Ovis aries: one gene and its partner. The protein of the gene in region 2 binds, or shares a complex with, the protein of the main gene of each other region. Links are inferred from orthologs where the notes say so. Each region holds a gene or a part of one and is shown on either strand. Other genes may lie near its edges.

Evidence for each region. The genes of interacting proteins can lie anywhere in the genome.
Region 1: GTF2F2 (region 2) and POLR2H share a complex: the UniProt entries of both Homo sapiens proteins name them as parts of the TBP-based Pol II pre-initiation complex. The link is inferred for Ovis aries from reciprocal best matches to the Homo sapiens genes GTF2F2 and POLR2H.

The regions. Positions count from the first base shown.
Region 1 is NC_056054.1:203,612,163-203,616,468, forward strand, and holds the start of POLR2H (DNA-directed RNA polymerases I, II, and III subunit RPABC3), read right to left. Parts: upstream 2,808-4,306; 5' UTR 2,674-2,807; coding exon 2,601-2,673; intron 1,642-2,600; coding exon 1,558-1,641; intron 1,478-1,557; coding exon 1,384-1,477; intron 842-1,383; coding exon 758-841; intron 1-757. UniProt on the Homo sapiens protein: DNA-dependent RNA polymerase catalyzes the transcription of DNA into RNA using the four ribonucleoside triphosphates as substrates.
Region 2 is NC_056063.1:15,657,270-15,661,279, reverse strand, and holds the start of GTF2F2 (general transcription factor IIF subunit 2), read right to left. Parts: upstream 2,808-4,010; 5' UTR 2,675-2,807; coding exon 2,609-2,674; intron 1-2,608. UniProt on the Homo sapiens protein: TFIIF is a general transcription initiation factor that binds to RNA polymerase II and helps to recruit it to the initiation complex in collaboration with TFIIB.

The DNA of each region.
Region 1 (4,306 bases), on a different chromosome or scaffold from region 2:
CCAAACTAAGGGAAATGGTCAAATCAATTAAGATACATCCATTTATTGGAATGTTACACAGCTATAAAAATGTTTAGGAATTTAAAAAAAATGTTTAGGAAAAGCTTTAAATTGACATGAGGAAACATGTTTTACATAACATTAAGCAAATGGAACAGAACAAAACATTGTAATAAACAACATGATCTCAAAGAAAAAAGTACATAGGAAAAAAAAAACCTAGAACATTCAAGAATGTTTATGTAGAAGATTCCCTCTGGTTATAGAATTATAGGTGACTTTTTTCCTTCTTCATATTACTTTTCTGCTTTTCAAATTTCTTGCAAAGGGCACATATTGTTTTAATAAGGTTTTAAAGAAAAGGAAAAAATAGTTGGGCAGAGAAACCAAAGAACTAGGGATTGGATTGCAGAGTAGCAAAACACACACACACACACAAACAAAAAAGCCTAGCAGTTTAATCACTTATGCTGCATTTAGTTCTTGGAGAAGTAACTTTCCTTGGCATTTCACTCAGCAAGATTAACAGTTTCTCATTTAGATCACAGGCCTTAAGATCCTGACAGAGGGCAAACTGACCAGCCTACATTTCAGACTGAAACTGTTCCCAAAACAGTTCCTTTCTGGGTCCCGCTAGGTCTGAGGTGCTTGAAGAAAGAAATCCAGGGAGCCTGAGGATGGTCCAGATTTTCAAAGCATAGCCCAAATTCTCACAAAATGAGAAGGGAAAGGGCTCTCACAAGACCAAGGAACTTACAGGCGTGTTGCTGCTTCAGTAGAAGTTTCGTCTCCCTCAATCCTGTACACTTTCCCATACATGACATACTCAAATTGGTCAGCCCTGTGGAACAATAGGGGCAGTTATTCTTAAATACAGTTAACAAAAGTAAGAGGCCCTTTAAAAAAATGGTAACTGGTAACTATACGCCAGCATCATAACACCAGGCACTTTCTAAACGTGATGTCATTCAATCCTCACAGCAACCCTGTGAGCTAGGTATGACCATCAATGTTATTGATGAGAAAAAACTAAGGTTGAAGGAGGTTAAGGTTATCCAACAAATAAGTGGTAGAGCTGAGATGTGAACTGAGTGGGCGTCCAAAGCCTTTCCATCACACCAAACTCCCTCCCAAGACACAAGGCCCACAGAGCCTAGGTCATTCAGTGCTCATTTCCTCCACTATCAAAAAGTGACAACTCACACTGTAATCACTGCTTTGGATAAACACCTGGATGTCTGGATTCTTAAGTGCTGCACTTTTCTTAAGCTAACAGAGTCTGCTGATAATCATTTATTTCATGAATTAAGTAAGGGTTTTTCTATACACCTATCCACTTAGTCCTCAGGCACATTTCAGGTGCTCCCTTTTCCATCCCCTCACCTGGAAGGCCTATCATCTGTGGGGTTGTATTCACCATCATCCAGAGTACCATCTTCATATAAGGTACTGGCTATGACCAACCGGAACTTGTCACCTGAAAACAACAGCGGTAGCAGAGGGTGGAGACCAGCTGAGATGGCATAAAGCCTCCTGCTGTTTGTGTTCAATACTTACCCAAGTCTACCGGGTAAATCTGAATGTTTACATCAAGGATGAGGTCCATCTTGAAAGATTCACTCTCACAATGCAGCCGAGACACTGGAGGGGAAGAGTGGCAGAAGTTAACTGCCTGTGGCCCAGGGCAGACCCTACAGGGCAGGGCAGACAGGTACTTCAGGGGCCTGGATGCAACAGAATACTCAGTCTAATGCAGTCTGTATCCACTGGCCTCTCATCTGCTCTCACAGAAGTACAGGCTCAATCAGAATCACACATGCAGGAAGGAAAGGGGAGACAACCTGTGGCCAGTGGACAGAATCCACAGAAAAGAATCAAAGATCCTCTGGCAATAAATAATATCCAGGTTCTAGGCCAACCTAAGTGATTAAGAAATAACCTGATTTGGGGCAAGGTATTCATTCATCCTAAGGTTTCCTCTTCCTGTGTCAGGTGCTGTGCTAAGGGGATTGATTATCAAGATGTGTAAGAACTGGTGTTTGTCCCGAAGAACTTATCAGTGTCCAGGCAAAGGAAGAGACACCCAGGACAATTATTGATAAATGACAGAATAAAGAGGTGTATACCAAGCAGTCTACTCTTAAACTCTGAGAAGATTTTACAAACAGCTAAAGACTCTGAGGAACGGGTTGTGAAGTCGGATTATTCACTGTACAACCTTGGGTGGGCTGCTTAGCCTCTCAGAGCAAAATGGGTAAGACACCGCCTACTCCTGGAAGAAAATAAGTGAGACAAAGCGCGTGCGAAGTGTTAAGTACAGCGCCCGGTCCAGAGCGGGGAGCGATTATAAAAGATGCCTGGAGTCCACCAGCACCAGCAGAAAAGGCCACCCAGGCAGCGAGCACAGCTTGTGTGAAACCAGGGAGAGCTCGGGAGTCTCCGTTTTCTTATCTATAAAATTATTTCTCGAGAGAGGTCCCCACACCAGGACCCACCGGTAGGGAAAGGCCACGCGAAAGTGGGTGGACAAGCAGCCTGGGGGCGGGTACCAGAGGAGATTAGCCCCTTCCCCCGAAACCGCCCCTCCAAACCTTGCTTACCTCGGTCAAACTTTTTGCCTTCCGGGTCAATGTCTTTTACATCAAAAATATCCTCAAAAAGGATGCCCGCCATGGTGAGGGGGCCACGAGAGTAGCAGAGGGACTGGGCGCGCTGACCACGACGACTAGGGGTAGCGCACCCCCTCGCGTGGAGGAAAAGAGGCGCGCTAAGACGACGCAGCGCTGAAACGGCAGCGGCAAAGGAATACAATAACGCATGCGCATAGAAGAACTGTACCGCAGCCACTTCCGCTGCCTAGCTCTCGGGGCTTCTTAACTTCCGCCCCGAACGATTGTTTCCCAGAGGTTTCAGAATTGAGGGCTGGTTTCGGGTCCAGAAAACCCCGCCCCCGGCGGCGACACGATGGGTCCCACCTCCGACAGAGGTGGCGTCGCGTCCGGCTCTCTCCCGAGGCTCTACTGCGCCCTCTTCAGAAGCCGGGTCTGGAAGACTGGAATGCTCAAGCGGCCTGCCCCAGCCAGGGACCTTGATCCTTGGCCCAGAGAAGCCCGGCCCGAGCCTTACTGTGCCGGTCTGCGTGCCCGCCGAGGGCAAGTCCGCACAGAGAGTGAGGGGAGCAGCACCCCGCCCCCAGGGCGCTGGCCCGACTGGGCGCAAAACCCAGCCCTTCCTGCTGGCACCCAGGCCGGCCCGGGCCGGCTCGTCCCAGCTGGATGTCACCTGAGCCGGGTCCCTCCAGTTTGGGAATTTGCCATGATGTCACCATGGGGAAGAGGAAAGCCTGCACCGTCCCCTTTCCTGCTCTCTTCTCTCACACCACCCCTTCAGCAGGGCATTAACCCCAAACCCACTGCCCTCCTCGAGCCCTGCCCCTTAAGCTCTGTTCTTCCCTTTCCGCTACCACGGTCCTCTCCTTCTAGACAAGCTCTCCTACGGGCTTCTTCATCCTGGCACTACCCTATCCTACAGATGCCACCTCTTTCTTTACATTGCCCCTTCCTCTAGGGTGCCAGCTCTCACTTCGGCCCCCTCCTGGGCACTGCTCCCTTACCCGGGAGCCCCCTGCGACCTCCCGCGCGCCCCTTCACCCCGGCGCTGCCTCCTCCTGCACACTGCCTGTTTCCTGGGCACTGGCCTCTCCTGACACTCTCCCTGACGCTGCTCATACACTAGTGCTCACCCCCTCTGCTCTGTCCTCCGGACCCTCATACAGAACACAAAGCCCCAGCAGGCCGTGTTCCCCCATGGCTGCTAGACGTCAGCACCTACTCCGGTTTCTCTTTGGGCCCTGCCAGGGAGAAGCGACCTCTGTCCCCACCACGCCCGCCTCCCAGGCACCTAGACCTCCCTTCCCTCTGGCCTCACCCATTCCCGTTCCCTCCCCATCTCCACCCCAACCCCCCGCACTAGCCGAAGGCCAGGTGGCTCAAAGTGCACCTCCCTGGGGGTGCTCCTGGGGGACCCGCAAAGAAGGGAAGGAGAAAGGAAGGGGATGAGAGAGACCGAGGGTCCTAATTCCAAGCAACCTCCGTTTCTGGGCCTAGCGACCCCCTCCGAGTTCTCCCCTAGCTTTGTTTTTCACCCCCCAGCAGAGCACAGGGACCTTTCCTGGCCAGTCAGCCGTTGGCCCCTCCGGTGAAGCAAGAGAGGGGACCGCCGCTGAGGGATTGGGCCCGAATCTGATTTAGACGGCTCGGCAGCCCCCGCCCCAGGCCCTACCGAGCCCCGGCCTGTCCAGCCCCTC
Region 2 (4,010 bases):
CCTGTAGACTAGAGTTAAAACTGGAGAAGGCAATGGCACCCCACTCCAGTACTCTTGCCTGAAAAATCCCATGGACGGGGGAGCCTGGTGGGCTGCAGTCCATGGGGTCTCAAACAGTCGGACATGACTGAGCGACTTCACTTTCACTTTTCACTTTCATGCATTAGAGAAGGAAATGGCAACCCACTCCAGTGTTCTTGTCTGGAGAATCCCTGGGACGGGGGAGCCTGGTGGGCTGCCGTCTATGGGGTCACGAAGAGTCGGACATGACTGAAGTGACTTAGCAGCAGCAGCAGCAGTGTTAAAACATTCCCACTTCACAACGTGATGATGTCAGTATACGGTCCCAATCCGCTACTCCAGGCATGATGTCCTCTTTGTTTTCCAGCCCACACCACATTACTGTGCATTCTCACTCCTGCATTTCAGAACCACTCTCCATGGTATGCTACGGAGATACTATGGCCCCCCATCCAAACCTCTGTAAGGCAAACATTTATTGAGCATCTACTGCGCTCCAAGCAGAAACACATCACCTCAAGCTCTCGCCACCTTTTCAAGCTCTTTCCATCTGCAAAGGAGATCTCCTCCCTAATGATCTCTCTCCATCTAGCATGCAGGAGGAGAGAGATACTTGGTTACTCCATCATTTTAAATCACACTGATATCACTGTGATAAGTCAAAGCAGCACCAGAGATTAAGGCTAGGGTTGAAGAATAAGAGTTCATTCAGTCATTCATTCATGCATGCATACATCACATTATCTGAGCTATTTACCTTACACCAAACACAGTTCTGGGTGACAGGCAAGACGCCTACTCTCGCGAAATATGACTGTGCATGTGCTTTGAAGAATGTTAATACAGGCTCAACATGCTAGTGAATAATCATAAGGGCAGGAGCAGGGGACTACAGAAGATGAGATGGTTGGATGGCATCACCGACTCAATGAACATGAGTTTGAGTAAGCTCCGGGAATCGGTGATGGACAAAGAAGCCTGGTGTGCTGCAGTTCATGGGGTCGCAGAGTCAGACACAACTGAGCGACCGAACTGAATCATAAGGGAGCTACATCAGAGAGGAAGACTAGAAGGGCCTCTCAGATTTAACTGATAAACACTCAGACGTGTGATAAAAGCTTTCCAAAAATCTAACAAATAAAGGTCTCTATGTTTTACTTGAGTTTTCAAGACTATCATAATCACATTTTGAATATACACATGTCTTATGAAAACTTCCTAAGAAACAACAGTCCCCAATTTGAAAAAGTAAGGGATAAATAGTGTACTCACTAAGTGAAGAAGTGAAGGTTGCTCAGTGTCTGACTCTTTGCGACCCCATGGACTATACAGTCCATGGAATTCTCTAGGCCAGAATACCGGAGTGGGTAGCCTTTCCCTCCTCCAGGGGATCTTCCCAACCCAGGGATCGAACCTAGGTCTCCCACATTGCAAGTGGATTCCTTACCAGCTGAGCCACAAGGGAAGCTCAGTAAGTACTTACTAAGGGTTAATCAAAATGCTGCCTTTACCAAAAAAAAAAAAAATTACTGACAGTTTCACCTGAGACACAATCGAACTCTAAAAGAACACTCCAGTCCACAGTCTCTCCTTCCCTGAGTTCAGAGCACTCTCACCTCTCCTGGGAACTCCATAAGACCCATCAACCTAAAAGAACACCTTACGAGTGAAAGTGAAGTCACTTAGTCCTGTCCAACTCTTTGGGACCCCATGGACTGTAACTTATCAGGCTCCTTCAAAAGGGATTTTCCAGGCAAGGATACTGAAGTGGGCTGCCATTCCCTTCTCCAGGGGATCTTCCCCACCCAGGGATCGAACCTGGGTCTCCTGAATTGCAGGCAGATGCTTTACCATCTGAGCCACCAGGGTACTCAGAGAACAGTTCTACTTTCTGGCTCAGAAAACTACCCAGAAAGCAAACGCTCAACTTTCTTATAGAGATTGATGACTGAAATCAGTTTCAGCAAGTGGAGATGAAGAAATTCTTCAGCCTGGGATAAAATGCTCAAACTGGGGGGCCATCAAGACAGGAGCCCAGAAAAACCAGGTCGTGGGATAAGGAGATCCATTCCAGGCACGTTCAGACTCTTAGTTGGCTAAAACACACTGGGTGTCCCTGAACTAATGTCCTCGTCTGCAAACAAGCCTACCAACCAACCCTGCCTCTCAAGGTAAGCGAAGTTCTAAACGAGAGAGCCCTAATGAGTTTTAAAAGGTGCACAAAGTGGGACGGTCTCAAGTTACGTGTGTGTGTGTGCGTGTGTGTGCGCGCGCGTGTATGTTAGTTGCTCAGTCGTGTCCGACTCTTTATAACCCCATAGACTGCAGCCCACCAGGCCCCTCTGTCCATGGGGTTCTCCAGGCAAGAACACCGCAGTGGGTTGCCACTTCCTTCTCCCAAAGGAACTATAGAAAGAAAGTGAAGTCGCTCAGTCGTATCCGACCCTTTGAGACCCCATGGACTGTAGCCCACCAGGCTCCTCCGTCCATGGAATTTCCCAGGCAAGAGTACTGGAGTGGGTTGCCAGTTCCTTCTCCCCTCAAGTCACTTAAACTACTTTAAAAGCGAGAGCCACGCAAACCTTACCTTGACCAGCCACACTCCGGTGTTCTGTTTGGCGCCAGTCAGGTCGAGTTCTCCGCGCTCGGCCATGGGTCTGTCGCCGGCGGAGACCTGCGGACTTAGAGCAGCGGCCCCGGGAGCGGGTGACTGCGGGACGAGGGAGCGAAGCACACGGCGAACCCTGGCCGGAGGTTGACTGTGAAGAGCCCGCGGTCCAACTTCCGGGATGCCGGGAGCCCTGGGAAAGAAGAACACACACGGCCGGCAGCGGGGAACTGCGCCTGCGCACTGCGGCCGTCAGTACGGCGCGCTACTGAGGACAAACTTCATCGGCGTGCACCTTCTTGAGTGGGCGTGGCTACTTCCAGGGACTGTGTCTGAGTAATTGAAAACGAGGTTGGGATGGGCGCAAACATCAGCAGTACATATAAAGACCAGGTCAGAGTAACAGAAGAAAGTGTCAAAACAGAAAAACGGGGTTTAAAGAGACAAAGGCTGTCAGTGTATGTCCAATCCAGGCCAAGGAGAGAAAGACAGCATTTGGAGGACAGGTAGGAGAAATGAATAAAATGAATTAGCAGAGTGGTCTTTATTGAAAGGCTACCCTGAGCACCTTCAGTTAAACGAGTAGGGCGCACCCCTTTAAGACTCCAAAACCCAGAGCCCTTTGTTTTTTGTTTGCTATTGTTTTTAATTTATTTTTAATTGGAGTATAAGCGCTTTACAATGTTATGTTAGTTTCTGCTCTACGACAACATGAATCAGCTGTAAGTGTACATAAGTCCCCTCCGTCTTGAGCCCCCCTCCAACCCCACCTCTATCCCACCCCTCTAGGTTGTCAGAGAACCCCGACCTGAGCTCCCTGTGCGCTACAGCAACTACCCACGAGCTATTAATCGCTTTTTACACATGGTGGTGTATACATGTCAGTGGTACGCTGGCAGTCTGTCGCGCCCTCTCCTTTCCCGGCTGTGTCCGCAAGTTTGGAGCCGTTTCATGACGTCAATGACAATAGACATGTAACAGAAAACTCTGATTGTTCAACTCCCCTGCTTAAAGAGTCTCCCCTCTCTCTTCTTGCCTCTAGAATAAAATTCAGTCCTCTCCACATAGGCCCTCACAGTTTGACCTCATCAAAGTGTGGTGTACTCAATGCACCACGCATCTAAGCCCATCTAACCCGTCAGACCTCCCGGAACGTATCAGAATGTTCCTCAATTATTCAGAGCCTCTGCACACTGGATTCCCTTTACTCAGATGCCCTATTCTTCCCGTACTGCCTTCTGATTGGCAGACACCTACTTAGGTTTCAAGATTAATGGAAATGTCTCTTCCTATGAGACCTTCTATCAACTCCCCCAGAGGAAGATAATTTTTTCTTCCCGTCACAGTGTGCGTTACTTAGCACGATGAGCTATAATGCACT